Schizosaccharomyces pombe: one gene and its partners. The gene in region 3 interacts genetically with the main gene of each other region. Each region holds a gene or a part of one and is shown on either strand. Other genes may lie near its edges.

Region 1 (4,888 bases), on a different chromosome or scaffold from region 3:
GAACTCATCAACCAATTGTCCATTTGAATCCAGAATAGTCTTAGTGGTATATTCACTACAATACAACACAATACCGCAGCGTTTAAGCTCAAATTATCAACCGGTCGTATCATTGTTTTTAACCACCTCTACTCTAGTGAACAACAATCGTTAAGTATAAAAAGATGGCTGAACAAATTGACTTGAAAACATTTAAAACTGATGTTGCTGACTATGAGGCTGCGAGGCCTGAATATCCTATAGGAATAACCGACTGGATTACTGATGAATTCTTAATTGATGAGACTTCCATCATTTTAGAGCTGGGTGCTGGAACTGGCAAGTTTACACCAAGGATCATCGCGTCTCATCCTAAGGAAATTATTGCTGTTGACGTATACCCCGAGATGCTCGATGTATTGAGAAAGAAATTCCCAAATGTTGATTGTCGTGCAGGCTCAGCTATGGCTATTCCTCTTGAGGATGAAAGTGTTGATTTGGTTCTTTGTGCACAATGCTTCCACTGGTTTGCAAATGAAGAGGCAATGAAGGAGATTTACCGCGTTTTAAAGCCTAATGGGAAATTGGGTCTTGTTTGGAACACTCGCGATGACACTGTGCCTTGGATTGAAAAGGTTAGTAAAATTTTGGGGAGGTACCGAAAGGACGCACCTAGCTTTGTTAGTTGGAAATGGGCCGAACTATTTCCTGGTCATGGATTTGGTAAACTTAGGTACTGTGCATTTCCTTTCTCGAGGTGTCTTACAGTCGAGGAATTACATACTTTAATGAATTCGTTCTCCTTTATTTATAAGCTTCCGGAAGAAGAGAAGGAGAAAGTGCATGCTGAACTTGATGAAATTGCTAAAACTATTCCCCGTGTCCAAAACACCGACCAAATTAAGCTTTGTTACCAAACGATGGCTTTTAGTAGCGAGAAAGAGCCTGCCAAGTGATGAATTTTTTTCAAGCGATACTCTTATGCGTAGAAGTAATACACTGTGAGTGATGAAACCTTCGACGCGGCGCAAACATTTTGCACTTGCCATCTATGATGAGGAACATAGGCTTTATGGATACTTTTATGCGTATGTTATATTCTCATTTTTTTTCTTCTTTCTTTTGTTTTGTTGTTTGTTACGAGGAATTCTTATGCTGTCAATTTTATCGCAGCTAACCTCTTTGTTAAGAATTTTGTTTCGCGTATTGAAAGAATATTTTCCAACAATCACTACTATTGCTAGATTCACCTTTATACGTTTCATCCACACTTTATTCAGTGAAGATTAGCAAAAATGTTTAAACGAGAACTCAATTCTTAACATAGCTTCGCTTATCATATGCAGCTAATATATAAATTTTTGAACGAAAATTATCATCTTATATGATACAAGTGATCGCAAAATTAGGGCTCGTGAGTATGACTAAAATTGCGATTATCACTTCCACTAAAAAGTTTAAGCATAAATAATTTTATTCTTTTTTTTTCCTAAACAATTGTACGAAAGAAATGGAAAACATTTACTTCTTGGTCTCTAAACTTCTTTAGCTTCACGTATTTGTTTGTACTTTTTTGAATAATGAGTTGCGTAGTGTTGCGGCGCTCTACTTAGTACATCATTATAGAAGTTCCATATCAAAGATAAACTTGTACTATATTTGGACTTAGCCTTATCCATCATTGTACTATTCTGCGTTTAAACAGTCTCAATTGTCAGTTTTGAAATTGAATTTTATTTGCTTATAAGTCGCATTTAATTAGTCGTATGTTCTTGCAATTATCATCGAGTTATAGAAGTTAAGTATTCTCATTCGCATTTTGGCATTTATTTGCTATCCCTTGGTATTCACCCGGTACCATCTTTTGATATCTTCTTAACCATATGTGTGTTTTTGAGTGGGTTGTTATACGTTAGTTTGCTCGAAGGTTTCATTTGGCTTTAAGCATTCATTTGCTATTATTCCCATTTTACACAAAATCAGGTAGAGGCCATATAAACCCCTTATAAGCTTGATTGAAGAAAAGAAAAAGAGACCGATATAATTGGCCTGTTTCCTATTATTATTAATGTCTAATTTGATTTTAACGCCTTCAAACAATGGCACAGAACGGCCTTATCGCTCAAGGAAAACTAGACCTTGTGACAATTGTCGATTGCGGAAAAGCAGGTGTGTGGTAGAGTCAATTGGAAATCCCTGCTTATTATGCACGCAGTTGAAAATTCCATGCACCTACCATCTTCCTCCTATAAAGCGCAACAAACAAAAAAAGCAACAGGATTCTGTTTCAGATGACACACCATCAGAAGCAACAACAACGACTAACGACGATCGTGATCCAAAGTACAATGCCTTAGGCAATAATTTGGATGCTGTAAGAGGAAAAGTGATTTCACCTACGCAAGGGTCAGATGCTCGTGGACCTGATGGTCGTCAAGTTCCATTAAATCTAGCAGGCATTACTGAAATGTATCATACTTCAGATGATAAATTTGACAAACTTGGACTTGACGATTCTTTGAACTATCCTTATGTGTTGGGGCCAACCTGTGATTCAGACATCGATCTTATTCGTGAGTATTTTTCGTTTGAAAACGGTGTTTGCTCTTTCGATAATATGACTGTTAAGTACGTTTCTACTAGCTCCAAATCACCTGTAATGTATATCCTGGATCCTGCGTATGAGAATGACCGTCATAGTGATTTTTCTCGATATGATCATGCTTTGCACGATCTATTATCAACATACATTGATGAGGCAACTGGCCGCACTTTAGTTAATTTGTACTTTAGTCATGTGCATCCTTCTTATCCTATTCTTCATGGACCTAGGTTTTTATTATCATATAAAAACGGTTCTCGAAATGTACCGTCTATTTTACTTGCCGCACTTTATTCCGTAGCTCTTACCTACTGGCCTTCTGATTCTCGATCGTTTGGAGCGCCACCACTAGATCAACGGAAAATGTGGACCATTGTCGAGGAAGGGTTGAATTTTCATTTTACACAACCACGACTTAGCACGATACAAGCTGCTCTCTTGTATTTAATTAGTCGTCCTTTACATAATATGTACAGTCTTTCCAGTATCCTTTCCCGTACGACTGTCCTTTCGCAGTTGTTGGGTTTTAATCATGATTGCACGGAATGGAAGATACCCAATGAAGAGAAAACCATCCGTAAACGCATTTGGTGGGCTATTTTTATTGCTGATAAATGGTATTCAATGTATTTTGGGTTAGCTACGAACATTCATGAAGATGATTTTGTCGTCCCAAAAATAGAATCTGATGAATCATTGCCTCTGGAAATCACATCGTCACATTCCTTTAAAACATTTCTTAAAATGATAGAGCTTAGTTCTCTTTTACAGGATATATTACAAGACTTATTTACTGTCCGTGCATTAACCCGTCATTCAAAAAACAATCGTTCTATTAGTTACCAGATCATTGGCTTTTTTACCAGATTAAACAGTATCCGTCCTGTAGAATTTACAGAGCCTGCGCTCGGAGTTGGTAAGTTTTTTTTTCCTCTTTACACTTTACTAATTGTTTTATTCAGCCTCATTAAAAATCCAGTTTGATGCTGTTGAAATATTGTTGTGGAAGACGGCATTGAGGTTCAACTTACCCGATTTTCAGTCTGCAGATGACTTATTCGTTTGCGTAGAAAAATCTGTTTCGAATTTTGTACAAATCACAGCCAACTCTTCGGGAGACTTTTTCTGGCCTTACGCAGGATTCCATTTTTCAACACTTGTTTCGCTTTTAATTCGCTTGCATTTAGATTTCCATACAAACAATACATACGGAGCTAGAGCTTTCTCACTTTTGGATGCGTTTGTGCGGCACTGTATCACGTTGCATGAGGCAGGTTTTGACTTTGTTGAAATGGCAATTAGGCGATCGTCTTCTTTGTTAAAGGAGCTGGGCAAGGACCATCCGCATTTATTGGCTCTTCGAGACGATATATTTAATTCTAATGATTCGCGAGGCGAAGAAGCTTATAATCACGTACCAGAGCAGCTGTTTGATCCATGGAATCCTCATTCATGGACGTTTCCCAAGTCCGATTAAAGAAATTTGTCTCTCACACACTAACTACATTGGCTAAATACTTAGGTTTACTTCTTCAAAGAGATCTGTAATTAATGTACATCTGAATTGGTGAAAATGCTAAAGATCACTTTGTTGTCTGTCATTCACAAACATATATATACATACAAAATATTGAACTATGCTATTGGATGTTAAACGTTTCTTCTTTATCTTGTGATTATTTTATTTTATTTTAAAGTTTATAGTGCTGGTCAAAGAATGCCTGGCATCTCTTATGACATTTTGAATAATAATACATTTATAATTTTGAGTCATGATAGAACCGAAACTTAATGGACTTTTGCTGCATGGTTTATTTAAGTAGTCTATAACTTTATACACGAAGCTTACGATACGAAGTTTTTAGATTGACTAAAGTTATATTCATTTGCTAACGATAGGCATCAATGACAAAACAATATAATATACATCAAACAACGTCCATAAATGCTATTTAACATACCGAGTAAATGAAATAATGACAAAAGCAAGCCTCTAACAAAACAAATAAAGAAAAAGAAAGAGTCAATTAATACAAATAATGAGAATAAAACACAAGTATCGCCGCTGTTGCTTCAACAACGACGTACGAGTTGGATGTATTGTTCACAGTGTAGAGGATCGAATCTAGGGTCTATAAAACAAACAGTTATGAAAGGGGAAAGGAATTAACGGGTATATATATGTGACATCTCATTCCAAGTAACCCCTTATAATAAAGAAGCAAACATTAAAGGAAAGAGACAGAATTGTAACTAATAGGGAGAAAAAATAAAAAACATACTAAATAAAGATTTATATAGATGAGT
Region 2 (4,636 bases), on a different chromosome or scaffold from region 3:
GTTCAAGTAAAGATGCAGCTGCCTTAGCCGCCAAATTATTCGGTGGTATGGCTCCTGCTCATCCTGTTTCAACACCTCCTGTAAGACCTCAATCGGCGGCACCACCTCAAATGTCTGCTCCAACACCACCACCTCCTCCTATGTCAGTACCACCACCTCCATCTGCACCGCCAATGCCTGCCGGTCCACCGTCTGCTCCACCACCACCTCTTCCTGCTTCATCGGCTCCTTCTGTTCCCAATCCAGGAGATCGTAGTGCTTTACTTCAACAAATTCATACTGGCACTCGGTTGAAAAAAACGGTTACGACGGATAAAAGCAAGCCCATAGCAGGACGAGTTTTAGACGCTTCTGACGGCAATTCATCCGCTTGGTATGGGAATTTGTCTTAGTGGCTTAACTTTTGTTTGTACTCATATCAAACGTTGAGTTTTTGTAGTGTTTCTAATTTTTATGCGCTCTTTATGAATGATATATTTTCTCATTCTGCAGCTATCAATTATCTCTTTAAATTGGCTTGTTTATACTTTATTTACCAATAAAATGTTTATGTTTAAATCTCTAGAGTGCATTAAGACAATATGAATTTAGAAACTTTCTTGAGTCAAATAATACTCGGACATTCACAAAACTATTAAGAACGCTATATTACTTATATACAGTAGTATGTAACGCAAATGCAATTCCATTTAAAAGGACTAATGTAAATATAAATTTCCCCATACAGTACCAATCGAAACGCAAATACACGTCCAGGAACACATAATTGCGGCAACAAGATCATGATTTTAATCAAGTAACATCCGATTTCGAAGAAGGCCCCAATTTTTTTATGACAAAAGGTAGCGTAAAGCCCTTAATCTTCAACGGGTTCTATCTCTTCAGAGATTACTTCCTCAACCGTTTCCTGAATTATTTCTTCTTCTTCAGCAGGAACAGTGATAGCAGGTTGGCCAGTGATTGCACGTTCTTCCGCAACCCGAGCAATAACCTCATCCCTATATTTCTGCCACTCACTAATGAGCTGTCTTCTACGGGCTGCCAATTCACGATTGGCGGAACTCTGTTCGGCGATATCCTCTTCATCAAACAAACGATTATAATCCTTAAGTTTCTTTCTAATTTTCTTCATGTCTTCCTTTGTCAATGGAGAAGGAGGTCTCGGACGCCAGATAAACTGCTTAAATTCTCCAATCATTTCTTCACGAAGAAGTGTGCCCCTAAAATCGCAAAGTCTGTAACCGTTCTCAAGCTTATGCCTCCAAATAGTACTGCTAGTAGTAACATATCGACCACTAGGATCCCACTCCAGCTCAGTCATACCAAAGTGCTCGGCAGAACCTATTTGCTGAACATTGGCAAGAGCATCCGGTTCTTTCTTTTCGGTATCAAAATCTAAGTCGTAAAACTCCAAATCATATTGAGTAGAGGAACCAAGGGTTGCAGCAACCATAAATCTACCCTTAGGCGCCATAAAAAGTGAATTGCATGTTTTCTTATCAAAAGTAATGATATGACGGAAAGTACTAGGGGTGTTCTTTTTCTGCTCAAAACCATAAAACGATAAATTAGTTTTTACATTTGTAGAATTTAAAACTTGATCATTAGCTGAAATTATGGCAAAACGATCACTCTTAGGTTCCCAGGCAAAATTGAGAACAACATCCTTAAGATCCACTACTTCAACGGGAATATTTTTCTCACGAATTCGGAATATTTCAAGGTTAGAGAATGTTGATTTCTTAGTTTTTGTGTGACGATCAACCTTAACACATAAATAATCACCATTAGACTGCCAGTACAACTTACAGTCGGAAACATTGAAAAGATTTTTCGTACGGATAGTTGATTTTGAAGGAATACTAATTAAGGCAACGCGAGCAGGTTGATTGGTAATTTCAGGGGTCCAGTAAGCTAAAAGCTGCTCCTTGGAATCACGTCCGAGAGCATCTGAAACTGGGCACCATTCAAAATTTTGCACACCGTCGATCTTGATAGTTTTCTTGTCAACCAAAGCAAGGGAGGGTGTCTCATAAACAGAAATCGACTGACCAACAGTAACGCGAGCAAGGTATTTATCATCGGCAGACCACTTGAAAATAGGCCAAATAACTTTTTTGCCATCCTTTGAACCTTCTGGTTGAGGAGGAATCTTAAAAGAACGAAGAATACGACCAGAGGCAATATCCCAAACGAAGCAATGTTTTCCTTCATCATCATCAGTGAAAGGCATTGTTTCACGAGCCGGATGTCCGATGGGAGGAAGTCGAACAGGCTCATAGGACCATGAAACAAGATACTTCTCGTTAGGGCTGAAGTCGACAAATTTTACGTAGGGGTGCAAGAAACGAGCACACATTCCCCAAGATTCCCCACCCCATAATTGAATACCACGAAGATGAAGTGATACGAGGTAAGTGCCCATGGGAGACCATTGCACGTAGGTCTCGGTCCAGTTTTCACGATCCACAATCTGTTCAGGGACGTCGCTCTTACGGTTCCAGTTAACAGATACACGGTTACCGTAATAGCTGATAAATTGATCACGACCATAGTAATCAGTTAACCAGCTACGCAAATGTTCGCGCTCCTTAAATTCACGTTCTTCGAAACTAAATTCATCAGGAGTGCTAAAAGCTTTTTCGAGTTGATTCAACTTACGAACAACGAAAGTATGGTTTTTTAAAATTTGCTTTCCATCCAACTCTTGAACGCAAAGATCGGCGCCATCAACATTTTCAAAATCGGCGAAAACTAGTCCAAGAGACATCTTTTTTCCATTTTTTTCCTCAAATGGCATATAAAATCCATTTTCCTTAACCTTTCCAATTTTAGCAAGGACTTTTGAGCTCAAAAAACGGAAGAAATCTTGCTGCTTAGCTTCTTCGACAACTGGAGCACCTTCGATTACTACAACCGTGTCATATCCAACAGGTTTAGTTACATTAAGCTTAACTTCCAGTTCAGAAACATCGATTTCCTCGTCCTTTACGACGATTTGATCCTTAATTTCCTCAATTAGGATTTCCGACATTTCTGGTGTAGTGCCGTTGTCTCTAGTCAAGTTTCTTCACCCAGTGACTGGGGGGACATCGAAGAGTAACTTTAGAGAAATTTAAAAAAAATTGAAAGTAATGAAAAGTAGAATTTAAAAAACATGGTATCATTTAAAATAAACTAATAAAGTTGATTCTGTTTTATATTTCTTCTTTTTTAGATTTTAACTCATTCTACCGATTTTGACTATTATCATTACTGACAACAGTTTATCTGCCAAGTTCGTTCATTTTGTATTGATTTTTAGTATTAGCACAATTGTTGGATTTTTCATAAAAGTTCTTTTTTCTCTTTTTATACTGTTGATTTGTACTGCAAAACATTGGAATGAGACATTCCAAGTGTTACCGTGTCTGAGTCCTCGTTCTTGTTTACAACAATTCAACAACATACTCAGGAGCGACAATTGTCCAATTTATTCATTCTTTTTACCCCTAAAAACAGACGTTTACGATCTTTTCCTATTTTAAATTTACCCCTTTTTTTTATATTGTGGTTTATTGAACTTTACAACAGAATTGCAATTTAAATTAACAACCTTGTCGCTTTCTTTGTAACAATCCTTACTCATAAAACCGAATGGCCCCTAGAGTTGCACCTGGTGGCTCACAACAATTTCTAGGAAAGCAGGGGTTGAAAGCTAAAAACCCGGTTTCTACTCCAAATTCACATTTCCGCTCTGCGAGCAATCCTAGGAAACGACGTGAGCCTCCTACTATTGACACTGGGTACCCAGATCGCTCCGACACTAATTCTCCGACAGATCATGCACTTCATGATGAGAACGAAACCAATATTAACGTAGTCGTCCGTGTTCGTGGTCGTACAGACCAAGAAGTACGCGACAATAGTAGCCTTGCTGTATCGACTTCGGGCGCTATGGGTGCTGAATTGGCCATCCAGTCGGATCCTTCATCCATGTTGGTCACGAAGACGTATGCCTTTGATAAAGTCTTTGGTCCTGAAGCTGACCAGTTAATGCTATTCGAAAATTCGGTAGCGCCCATGCTGGAGCAAGTATTGAACGGCTATAATTGTACTATATTTGCGTACGGACAAACTGGAACCGGTAAAACATATACTATGTCTGGTGATCTTAGCGATTCCGATGGAATTTTGTCTGAAGGAGCAGGCCTTATTCCTCGTGCCCTTTATCAATTATTTTCCTCCTTGGACAACAGTAATCAAGAATATGCTGTCAAATGCTCCTATTATGAACTTTACAACGAGGAAATTCGCGATCTTTTGGTTTCCGAAGAATTGCGAAAGCCAGCTCGTGTTTTTGAAGATACTTCGCGGAGAGGGAACGTTGTTATTACTGGTATTGAAGAAAGTTATATAAAAAATGCTGGCGATGGGTTGCGATTGTTACGTGAAGGCTCTCACCGGCGTCAAGTTGCTGCTACAAAGTGTAACGATCTTTCATCTCGTAGTCATTCAATCTTCACGATAACTCTGCATAGAAAGGTATCTTCGGGAATGACAGATGAAACTAATTCACTTACCATAAATAATAACTCTGATGACTTGCTGCGCGCCAGCAAACTTCATATGGTTGATTTGGCTGGAAGCGAGAACA
Region 3 (3,352 bases):
AGGGATGTGATTTTTTTAATTCTGATTGAAGCTTCGATACGAGGCTTCGTAACATAATCCTTTTCGGTAGCAGGAGGGACTGAAGGTTGATCAGTAACGATGAAATACTCAAGGTTTTCAATACACTCGTTAATTGAAGACATAAACTCGGGAATTTCGAAAATAGCTTGACTACACTCATTGTTCTCAGACATTAAAACATGAGTTTCCGGTAAGTAAGGAGAGGAAGAAATGCGGGTAAAGCTTAAGTCGTAACGTATTTCACGAAGAATGCGCATACAGTCTTTATGAACAATGGCGAAAACAAAACGCTCAGCCTTCAAGTTCTGGTCTGCAAGAGTTAAATCGAATTGAAAACGGTCAGCAACAGGTAAAACAGAAGACATAACGTTTCCCAGGAGGATTTCAACGATTTGATTAAGAGAGTAGGCTAACAAATCTTGACGAGGAAAAAGCTGAAGTGTTGTATACACATTCTTCACGTTGAGACGTCCAGTAAGATAGGAGCTAAACTCGGTAGGAGAGTCATAAATGATTGGAGAACTGTTAGGACCTGGTCCATATTGTGCAAACTGTTGGCGAAAGCTAGACTGTAAGGAACCATACCAGCGAGAAGCGATTTTTTGGTTTTTCTTCTTTTGCGTGATAAAAGAAAAAACATAAAGGAAAAAACAAGCAAGAATAACAAATTCAAGACGGAAATCTCTCCAATCGACATGCTTGAACATTCCTGGATTCTCCAACTCGGGATTCATATTGTAATCCTCTTCGTATTCATCTTCCTCATCAGCCAGTACTCCTTTAGCTAGTGCAAAAACTAGAAACAAAAGCTTTTTATTAATCATGGTTCCTCCGCTTGTAAATTTACTGACTTTCGTGAAAGAAAAAAGGGCACTGGTTGTACGAAGTGAGATTGAACGTGGTGAAATAAGTAACGAACGAGACAAGCCGGTTCCTAGAGTGGGAAGATTAACTAGTGTATATAGATAGTTTAAAATAAGTCGGTAACCAGAACATGTCGCGATGGTGTAGTTGGGAGCATGACAGACTGAAGATCTGTTGGTCATCGGTTCGATCCCGGTTCGTGACACTTTTTTTGACGTGGAGAAAACACTTTGTACTAGTTATATCCAACATAATTTTGAGGTTTTTTCTTTTTACTTATTTTTATTTTTCTAGTTGCTATATGTGAAGCAAAATTAGATAGCTAACGGATGCTCAAGAATATTGTACTGGCACTTCAGCTTGTTATTGCAAAAGTTACAAAAACAGTCTGCAAAGACAAACAAGCATAGAAGCTCAGTTGGTCTAAATGTATATTACTAGATCGGTTCTGTAATTATTGGTGTTTTATTAGCAATGAATGGTGCTTTCAACTGAATATATCCGACAGAGAAACTATATGGCGTTACAATTTTCAAAGGTAGTAGTTTATCTATTTGGTAAATGATAGTTGTACGAACTGCTACGCATTTACTCAAAATCTTAGTTACATTCATGCGTTCTATATAAAAGAAAGTCATTTTGTACTTGCTTGTTTACGTATACGATCGGTTAATCTCAACAAAGCAAATAAAAGGAAGCTAGTCACCCTGTTGTACTTTATACCTAGGACATATTTTTTTTTTCAAACATGTAACATACCGTTACTGAAGAATGTCATAAGCTTAACGCTAGCTAAATTAAGCTTGTATCAAAGTTGCGAGGGATATTGAGATCTATCGTTATTAGATCATTATAGATAAAAAGATATAAATGAGAAATCCTCCATACCTCAACAATAATTGTTTATTGGTAAAAAAATATTATTCCTATCCACTTTTTGGTTAAGCAGAAAATCTGGCAGAATTTTGTACATGCCGCTTTGCCTATCATTGGCTGCTAAATAAATTCCTTGAGCTCGTTTGTTCGATTATTTACTACTACCACACGATACCCTAACGTGAGATTTTCTCTACTAGCGATATCAAAACTTTCGCAAACTTTTTCCAACTCCCCTCAACACACGATTTTTATTATATAGATTTATTTATCAAGATGTCGGTGAAATACTTTGAACCTGAGGAGATTGTGGAGCACAATAATTCCAAAGACATGTACATGGTCATTAATGGAAAAGTTTACGACGTTAGTAACTTTGCTGATGATCATCCTGGAGGCTTAGATATAATGTTGGACTATGCAGGTAAATAATTCGACAAAACTTTTGTAGAAGTAAACACCATATTATGTTGGAGACTGCTATGCTCAAAAGCGATAGTATACTTTTAATCGCTATCGTTTCATTCATCAGTTCTTCACTTGTGTGCCTTCTTGATTAAAACATTGTATACGGCTTTTTAAACATGTCCACTAACTATTTGTTTTAGGCCAGGACGCCACTAAGGCCTATCAGGACATTGGACACTCTATTGCTGCAGATGAGTTACTAGAAGAGATGTATATTGGTGATTTAAAACCCGGAACTGAGGAGAGACTCAAAGAATTAAAGAAACCTCGTTCATTTGATAATGATACGCCTCCGTAAGAAAATGATTTGTGTACGATGGTTGTTTCATGCTAACAGAACAGATTGCCTCTATTAATCGCATTAATTGTCCTGCCAGCCATAGCAGTAATTGTGTTTGTTAAGCTTAACAAATAAACTTCGAAGGCTTGCCTATTTATTTTCCTAATCTTTATACCTTCTTTTGTTTTTCGCGATGTTAGTATCACTCAATATTATTATGGATAGCAATTGTTTTCAAGGCTTCTAAAGAAACAAAATAAACGTTAACTTAGAAAAATATATTTCTTAAATGTCTTCCTTCAGTAAGAGAGCTCTTAAAAACAATGAGTTCAGCTCGTAACATGTAATTAACTCATGGAGATATTAAACAAACCAAAAAAGTATAACAAAAAGATTTAGCTAATAGTAAAGAGGGAAGTATGTAATCAGAAGTGGAATATAACTAATGGAAAAATTAGTTCTATTGGGCTTATGAAGGACTTCCAGTAATATTCGGTTGGACTTTAGATAAATTGATTACCATCTTTCCTTTGATTTCTTTATCACTCAGCTTAATGTTGTTAATATCATCAATCAAAACACCTAGTTTCCTTATTATAAACTCGGTTTCCTGCTCGGTAGGTTTAGCAACATCGTATTTTGGATCTAAATTCAATGAGTCGATTTGATCTAATACCTCCCTATCGCAATCATTATGTTAATATAGTTTCTACTGTATAAAAAGAATTTATCAAAAGCTTACTCATAAATGTTGTCCCGAGGGTCTCGCTGAGGTGCTTCGGTTCTCAATCGTAAAGAAAAGACGTCAATGAATTTATTTCTATTTTCAGTTAACAAAGAAAC
Region 4 (8,051 bases), on a different chromosome or scaffold from region 3:
TATAACTTTCCCCTTTTTCATGGAAGGAAAACATTGTGCGAACTTTTCCAAAGGAATGTGAGCTATAGTTTCTGACAAAGTTCTCGATAAAAAGGCATCCAGCTGCTCCTTTCGACTAGTCATATAAAGTAATCCCAAATAATTTATAGTAATTTAAGCCTGAATTAGCGACAAAGATGAACTTGCGAAGCAATGAAAATACGTTTGAATAACAGCAACGTTACTATTTAGATTTTTTGTGTAAATCTATCTTAAATAAAAGAAATTATGAACGTATTACTGTAATTCAATTGTCTTTAATTCACTCCTAAATGGCATGGGTCCGAAAATATATATAAAATTGGTTCAGAATTAGCTTTTCCTAGTTGTTCTCAGATTTTTAAGTAAATTCACGTTTGTCGTGTGGTCCGGGAGAAATGCTTTGTTTACATTGAACATAGCGTAATGCATTGCAGTTTCTAATAATTTCTTATAAGCGAGGGCTAACTACTTTTATATTGGGGAACTTCTGACAGCTGAAATCCTGCTGTTTGCCTTTGCGTGCATTCGCTCACTTGATGGATATTTTTCATAAAAGTTACAATGTGATTCTATCACCTCCCAAAGTTCAGCAGGCGGATGAAACGATATCGAAGCTCTGTGATCGGTTGGAACATGCTACGCTTTTTGAAGATCGAAAAGCTGCTGCTCTCGGAATTAAGAGCTTTGCGAGAGAGTTTAAGGAGGTATGATTTTTTTAAATACTAGTTTGAGGTTGCTTTTTTATTTAATTTTGTTCGATTGGGACTAACAAATTTAGCTCGTGGCTGCTCATGGCTTAAAAGGCATAATTCAATCTTTACACAGAGACTATGATGATCCTGAACTTTTAAAAGTTACTTTAGAAACATGCTTAATTTTGACGCGACACGATGACGACTCAAGAGCTTCAGATACTGGGTTGTGGATAGCAGATCAGTTTATCCTGAACCAAGACAATATTCAATGTCTTTTGCAAAGCATATCCCACAAAGATTTCTATGTTCGTCTATATTCTGTTGAATTGTTCTCTGCTATTTTATCATGCCGGCCCACTGAATTGAAAGATTGTCTTCAAACATTTCCTTCTGCTATCTCCAGTATAATGGTTCCACTTCGAGACTCCATTGAGCCAGTTCGAAATGCAGATCTTTATTTTTTGTCAGAATTGGTGAAGGACTGCACAAGCATCCAGAAGTTGGTGGTATTTGAAAACGCTTTTGAGACATTATTTTCATTGCTAGAAAATGAAGGTGGTGTCGATGGTGGTATAATAGCACTAGAAGCCTTGAAATTTCTGAACGTTCTACTTAAAGATAACATTTCTAACCAAAATTATTTCCGTGAGTCCAACCACATTCCTTCTTTACTTAAGCTTTTGTCCGTTGACACTTTTGTTGATGGAACTTGGGACACTTCTCGTGTACAGTGTGTTATAGAAGCCTTATATGCTCTTCAATCATTAGTACCAATTGGCTTATCTTCTAGTATTGCTAATCAAAATGCTGTTGTCTCCAATCACGGCATTGATGTTTTACTCACACTTGCTACTCACCCTGATTTATTATTCTTTGACGTTCAAAAAATTAGCTGGATAACTTTAGCGCACGTCGTATATTCTAATGCTCGAGCTCAAAATAGTTTTGTCGACTCTACTTTTTTTGATATAAAAAATACCGATGTTTTGACGTGTTTGTTTGATTATCTCTTTCTTTCTTCTATTTCACCTTCACATCGCTATTCCGTGGCTTTTTTCCTAAGGTCATTAACCTCCGAAAATGATGAGCTTTCATCGAAGTTTTTAAAGCAAATTATTCATGCATACACCCATAAACAAGATAATCGGCTCAATATAATTCAAGGATATTTGGATTTAGTACATTTGTCCGATCAAGATCAGTATGATAATTGGTTCACTAGCACAATCCTTACCTACCTTGTTATTGATAATGACCAGAGAAAATATCTTTTGTGCTCGATTCCTTTGTTCCAAGATATGGACAATGACGAGGATTCCGAAAGTGAAGACAAAGTCACCTTTATTCAATGCGTATCTACCAAGTTAATAGCTACTTTAAGACATGAGAACGCGCTTCAAAATTGTGTTGGTTATCTAACACTATTAATCGCTCTGGTTTATGGTAATCCTGATAGTGTCAAAGACTTTTTGTCGGAAAGTAGCATTTTGCAAACATTTTTGACGGCGCTAATGGATGAATCGTCTTCAGCAAATTCCGTTATTCAAGGCATGATAGCTGTATTCTTATCATTGGTTTACTATTATTGTCCAATAGAGTCTCCGGTATCTAAATCTGATGTCTACAATGCAATCACTTCTGCTGTCAAGCGCGACGTGTTCATTAATAGGCTACAACGGCTTCGCAGGATGAACTTATACGAGATCACGTTCCTGTCAATGAAGCAGAAGATGGTAATTGCAATGACATCCTCTTTGACACTACATTTGTGAATTTCTTTAAGGATAATTTTTACCGCCTTAAGCACGCTATAGACGACGCCGCTGACGCATTCAATACTAAAATTGGTGAAATCAATACATTGGATGCGTTTGACGAAGCACAAAAGCAATTGAAAAGTTTGAGGGAAGAGATTGATAACACTAAAGAAGCATTAGACCTTTCTGTCAAAGAAAGATCTATTCAAGAAGAGAAGTTGAATGAAAGTCTCAAGACTAGCAAAACAAATCTAGAAGAACAAACACAACTGGCAGAAAAATACCATGAAGAGTTATTAGATAATCAGCAAAAATTATATGATTTGAGAATTGAACTAGATTATACGAAGTCGAATTGTAAACAAATGGAGGAGGAAATGCAAGTTTTGAGAGAAGGTCACGAATCCGAAATCAAAGATTTCATCGAGGAACATTCAAAACTTACCAAACAGTTGGATGATATAAAAAACCAGTTTGGAATAATCAGCTCCAAAAATAGGGATTTGTTATCTGAGTTAGAAAAGTCGAAGTCACTGAATAATTCTCTGGCTGCATTAGAATCCAAAAACAAAAAGCTAGAAAATGACCTTAATTTGCTTACTGAAAAGCTCAATAAGAAGAATGCCGATACAGAGTCCTTCAAAAATACAATTCGTGAAGCTGAATTGTCCAAGAAAGCACTGAATGATAATCTTGGTAACAAAGAAAACATAATTTCGGATTTGAAGAATAAACTTAGCGAGGAATCTACACGTTTGCAAGAGCTGCAATCGCAGTTGAATCAAGACAAAAACCAAATTGAAACCTTGAACGAGAGAATATCTGCTGCTGCTGATGAATTGAGTTCAATGGAATCTATCAATAAAAATCAAGCTAATGAGTTAAAATTAGCAAAGCAGAAGTGCAGCAATTTACAGGAGAAAATTAATTTTGGTAACAAACTTGCCAAAGAACATACTGAAAAAATTTCTTCACTGGAAAAAGATTTGGAGGCAGCGACGAAAACAGCTTCAACTTTAAGCAAAGAACTAAAAACGGTTAAAAGTGAAAACGATTCTCTTAAGAGCGTATCAAATGATGACCAGAATAAAGAAAAAAGCGTTAATAACGAGAAGTTTAAAGAAGTTTCTCAAGCATTAGCCGAAGCCAATGAGAAGTTAAATGCGCGTGACGAAGAGATTGAGAGGTTAAAGGTTGACATTATTGGCTTGCAAAACGCGTCGTTAAACATGCAATCATTGAAGGACAGTGACAACCGAACAATTTCAGATTTAGAGAGTAAAAATAAAGAGTTAGAGAAAAAACTCAAGGAAGCTGATGAATATTGGTTGCTGATAGTTGAAGAATTAGAGTCGAAGAGAACTAAAGACAAGGAATTGCTTAGACAATGCGGTCAAGCTGTTTCCGAGGATGAACAAAGCGAAGAGGAGTAATTAATTAAAATATCATTCAAAAATATATATAATAAAAATTTTTTATCAGATTTTTAAACATTTTCAGACCAGGATTTTGCTAACATCCAAAAATGCTCAGCTCCTCCTTGTTCTTCTAAGTAACTCTTTGCGTCGTTTTCAGATGGACAACTTCTAAACGACCAGTAACGAAAAGCTCGCCTACCAATTTCTCCTTCCCATACTAAATTGCATGTGTTTTCTGTATAATTTAATTCCCGTCCTTCAGTATCCACTAATTTATTTCCTTGTGCTATAATGGAATTTCTTGAAGTATCAGTCCAGTCGATTCTTTCAAGCATTAGTCTTTTTAATTTTTTGATAGCTTTTTGTCCAGCTTCAAAAATTACTAAATTAAAATTCGCATTCAAGATACACACACCGGTAGCTCCCCATTGTTTCGCATTAAGGTCAATTTTCAAACGATGAGGCCTATGAGCAAGGTATTTAATACTAAATAAGTTAGTACAGTAAATTAGCCAAAATACATATTTACACAAAACATAAACAGAGATGCAATAGTTGTAGATACATACCGAAATACCAAACAACGTAGACCGGCAGCTGAATCCTCATCTTTCTTACGGAATGCCTTCTCTTTTCGCTCCTCCGGAGTTAATTTCCGTTCCTCATTCTCTCGCTCATGTCGAAGACGTCTTTCTTCAACCTGCTTTCGAACTTCTGCTTCTATTTTAGTAGGGTCTTTTATAGCATCATCTCCTAAAACGTGCATTAAATTAGAAAGCTTGACTTTCGGTGGCTCTGGAGGTTCAATTCCAAGTAACTGACGGTCTTGTTTTTCCTTTCGAGCTTCAGCCCGAGTCTGTCTTCTTATTTTCTTTTGCTCCTAAAAAATAATCAGCAATTAATCAACTTTCAAATAATTTACCTTTTTAGTTAAGAAGACGGAATGAGATGACGGTTGGTTTTTTGCATAAGGAGGGAGAACAGGTATAGGATGTTGAATAGCTGAGTTGATAATTGATTGTGGACCATCAATTAGCCAGTTATTTTCATCACCATAGTCATTATAATCCTTTATAAAGGGTAAGTCCCACCATTCAATGTTGGGAATTGTATCTCTTCCAATAGACTTGCTCGTAATGTCAAGTTCATCTTCAATCCCTGCCTTATGCGAGTGTAAAGCTATTCTTTTTTTGAGATCCTCCAATCTGGCCTGTCGACGAGCTTGATTAGCTTCTTCTATAAACTTGCCAGATTCGTTTAAATGCAAATTCCTTGAACCCCTAGTTTTCCGTGATTCCTTCGTTCGAGGATCATAAAATGGTGAATCCTCTAATCTAGGAGTAGGGGCTGTATCAAGAAAAGGATTTTGTTCTGTAATAGCAGGTGGTTTCAATAGTTGGTGCTGCGATAAAGAAACACCCTTTGTCGAAAAAGAAGCAGTTCGTTTACGATTTTCAGGTGTTAAAATTGTGTTTTGAATGTTACCATCTAAAAGCACTGGATGGATTCCAACTTTTAATCCCCCTTTGGCACCATTACTATCATCTCTGAACAAGCCTTCAGATTTGGGTATATTGGCATTCTACAAACGATTAGCAACTGCAAATAACAAAAATAAAAAAACTTACAAATCTCTTGGCTGTCTTTTCCTTAAGCTCTGATATACGATTTTGTATCGTTTCCATTCCAGCATTATTCCCATTTTCAGAGCGTTTTTCCCAAGGCACTTGAGCTTGTTGTGCAAGACGCTGCTCTAATTGTAAACGTCTTCTTTTAATTTCTTCCATCTATATTGAATTAGATATTCGTCCATTAGTTTTATATTTTTGAAACATACAGCGTTAGGCTTATTTTGAGAATTCGGCGAAGAACTTTCCCTCAATTGAGACGATTCTAAACGCCTCTTGTTACGATCCATCAGTTAATTGAAAGCAGTAGTTTAATTTGCAAAGCTGGGAATACGAATTTGTACAACGACTGTGCGTGTAAACTTTGAAAAACTCAGATTCGTGGTCTAAATATAAACTGTGAACTTTACATTAACGCTTAAATTCAAAAAAATGCATATAGTAAAAAAACTTGACAGTTTTTTGTGTCCTTCAATCTTTAACCTAGTTGGTCCATTCAAGGAGTGTGGTGGCACATACCGCCTAAGTATAGTTTGTTGCGATACTTGTATTCAAAAACTAAGCAGACATGTTAACAATGGAGTCTATTTCATTAAAAAAAATTAATATACTACGATATTGAGAGGAACTGCCCAGGTCTGAGCAAAGGATGGGAAGGTTAAAACTAGCAAATTGGTATTCTTTTCGCCATTGAATAATAAGTAAGAGAGTAGCTAAAAAAATGTACAATCCAATCCATCGTCAAAATTCCAAACCAATATCTCGCTACTATGAGTACATGCAATAATACGTCTGTGGTCAAACTGCAGACCGAACACACGAGAATTTCTACTATTATGCAATACACAGTGTTGCTCGCCAGTGTTGAAATTCCAAATTCGAACAGTGCCATCGTAACCGCCTGAAACAATTTTTTCATCATTAAATCGCACAGTGCGGATCAAATCTTCGTGACCTTGAAGCATACGAAGCAGTTTACCGGAACTTGCTTCAAATATCCTAATTGTAAGGTCCGAAGAGCCTGAAACAATAAATTTACCATTATATTGAGCACATGCTATTCCACGTTGATGAGCATGAATAATGCGAATGCAATGGCCAGTAGTTATGTCCCAAGTGCGTAGAGTGCGATCGCTGCTTGCTGTGACAATTAATCCAGTTTTCGAAGAATATTGTACAGAATTTACAGAAGCAAGATGACCACGCAAAACATGCATACAAGCTTCAGCAGGGGAGGTGGCATCTAACCTCCATACTCGAGCTGTGTGGTCCCTTGAAGAAGATATAATGTAATTTTCGGATACAACGACACCTAGCACATTATCTGTATGTCCGAAATAAACTTTTAATGGGCGTCGGTTTTGCCAATCCCATATAATAATTGTTGAATCAGAAGAACCAGAAACAAGAAGATTTCTTCGTCTACAAAAGTCCAAACACAGGACGCTTCCAGAATGGCCGTATAATTTATAAAGAATAAATCGAGAATTTACATCCCACACACTTACTGTTCGATCTTTAGACCCGCTGACCATGATTTCGTCATCATATTGAACACAATAAACACTATCCAATGTAGCACGAAAATCCTGGTCTGCAGGGAAGCGTATAGAGGGGTTATTGAATGTAGATACTAGAAATCTACCATGTCTCCAATTACTATCCAAATGGGCGTGTTCTTTGTATAGATAGGACCAGTTTAACAAGGGCCGGCCGTTGGAGTCGAAGATAAACTGTTGCGGTAGAAACATTGTACCATAGGGTCCTATGATATTTTGCTGCTTTAGAAAATTTTCGAATCTTGGTTGAGGAAACTTGTGTGTCCTTCTCCAAGCTTCAAATTCATTTAGCACATTTTCATTTACAAACCAACCCTTTTGCATATATAAAGCCTTCCAAATTCCAGGATCTTCCAATAGACGCTTCCAGCGCTTTGACATAAGCTTGCACTTACATAGATCAAGCTGATCTAAGTAACTAAACACCCTCAAACTAACCTCTTCAGGAAATACCTACATTAACGGATATTAGTTATATTATACAGGGAATTGAAAACTTCATACTTCTGTGAAATCTGTAAATAACAGAGAACGAACGTGATTGTAAACAGCAACTACCCCTTCTTTGGATAAGGAAGCCAACAGATCACGAATTAAGTCTTCTTTATATTAGTAAAATGAAAAGAGTACAAATTAAAAAAGAAGTAAAGCCGTGAGCTTCAAAAAAAACATACCAATTCTATTATTTTCATGAGACAGCGGATTTAGGCAAGGAACCGGACTTGAGGTACTGAAATCACTGCAAGATGTCAAATCTGACACCTTGCTAACCACATTTTTGCCATTGTCGTCCTGGTTCATTCCTAAAGTTTTCAAGATCCCAAGCTATTACATATGGTAGTCATACGACACGGGGCATATCTGTATCAAACTGAAATGGGCGTAGACCTTTGTTCAAGTCAGCAGGCCTTTATAATAAACTATCAATTCAATTCACAACCTTCCGATATGAGTTTCCTTCTACAAGTGAAAA

The links.
Region 1: mutations in cyb502 (region 3) and SPOM_SPAC25B8.11 together harm fitness more than expected from each alone (negative genetic interaction), as found in Schizosaccharomyces pombe (one large-scale study listed by BioGRID).
Region 2: mutations in cyb502 (region 3) and tif302 together harm fitness more than expected from each alone (negative genetic interaction), as found in Schizosaccharomyces pombe (one large-scale study listed by BioGRID).
Region 4: mutations in cyb502 (region 3) and prp3 together harm fitness more than expected from each alone (negative genetic interaction), as found in Schizosaccharomyces pombe (one large-scale study listed by BioGRID).

Annotation. Positions count from the first base shown.
Region 1 is NC_003424.3:4,172,012-4,176,899, forward strand, and holds SPOM_SPAC25B8.11 (transcription factor), read left to right. Parts: upstream 1-1,663; 5' UTR 1,664-2,047; coding exon 2,048-3,497; intron 3,498-3,543; coding exon 3,544-4,058; 3' UTR 4,059-4,367; downstream 4,368-4,888. Other genes in the region: SPOM_SPAC25B8.10 (trans-aconitate 3-methyltransferase), read left to right, coding at 165-935.
Region 2 is NC_003424.3:4,308,977-4,313,612, reverse strand, and holds tif302 (translation initiation factor eIF3b (p84)), read right to left. Parts: upstream 3,053-4,636; 5' UTR 3,035-3,052; coding exon 857-3,034; 3' UTR 552-856; downstream 1-551. Other genes in the region: pan1 (actin cortical patch component protein PanI), read left to right, coding at 1-392; kinesin-5 family plus-end directed microtubule motor, bimC subfamily Cut7, read left to right, coding at 3,637-4,636.
Region 3 is NC_003423.3:2,574,114-2,577,465, reverse strand, and holds cyb502 (cytochrome b5), read left to right. Parts: upstream 1-2,000; 5' UTR 2,001-2,037; coding exon 2,038-2,185; exon of another isoform or gene 2,186-2,369; coding exon 2,370-2,523; exon of another isoform or gene 2,524-2,571; coding exon 2,572-2,644; 3' UTR 2,645-2,803; downstream 2,804-3,352. Other genes in the region: SPOM_SPBC2G5.01 (Ca(2+) binding protein), read right to left, coding at 1-845; Ragulator-Rag complex subunit Lam1, read right to left, coding at 2,979-3,189, 3,252-3,329.
Region 4 is NC_003424.3:4,401,845-4,409,895, reverse strand, and holds prp3 (U4/U5/U6 small nuclear ribonucleoprotein complex subunit Prp3), read right to left. Parts: upstream 6,018-8,051; 5' UTR 5,810-6,017; coding exon 5,729-5,809; exon of another isoform or gene 5,679-5,728; coding exon 5,520-5,678; exon of another isoform or gene 5,474-5,519; coding exon 4,814-5,473; intron 4,772-4,813; coding exon 4,461-4,771; intron 4,378-4,460; coding exon 3,960-4,377; 3' UTR 3,907-3,959; coding exon of another isoform or gene 800-3,906; 3' UTR 726-799; coding exon of another isoform or gene 558-725; 3' UTR 300-557; downstream 1-299. Other genes in the region: F-box/WD repeat protein Pof11, read right to left, coding at 6,233-7,531, 7,583-7,677, 7,753-7,879. UniProt on the Schizosaccharomyces pombe protein: Participates in pre-mRNA splicing and in nuclear mRNA export. May play a role in the assembly of the U4/U5/U6 tri-snRNP complex.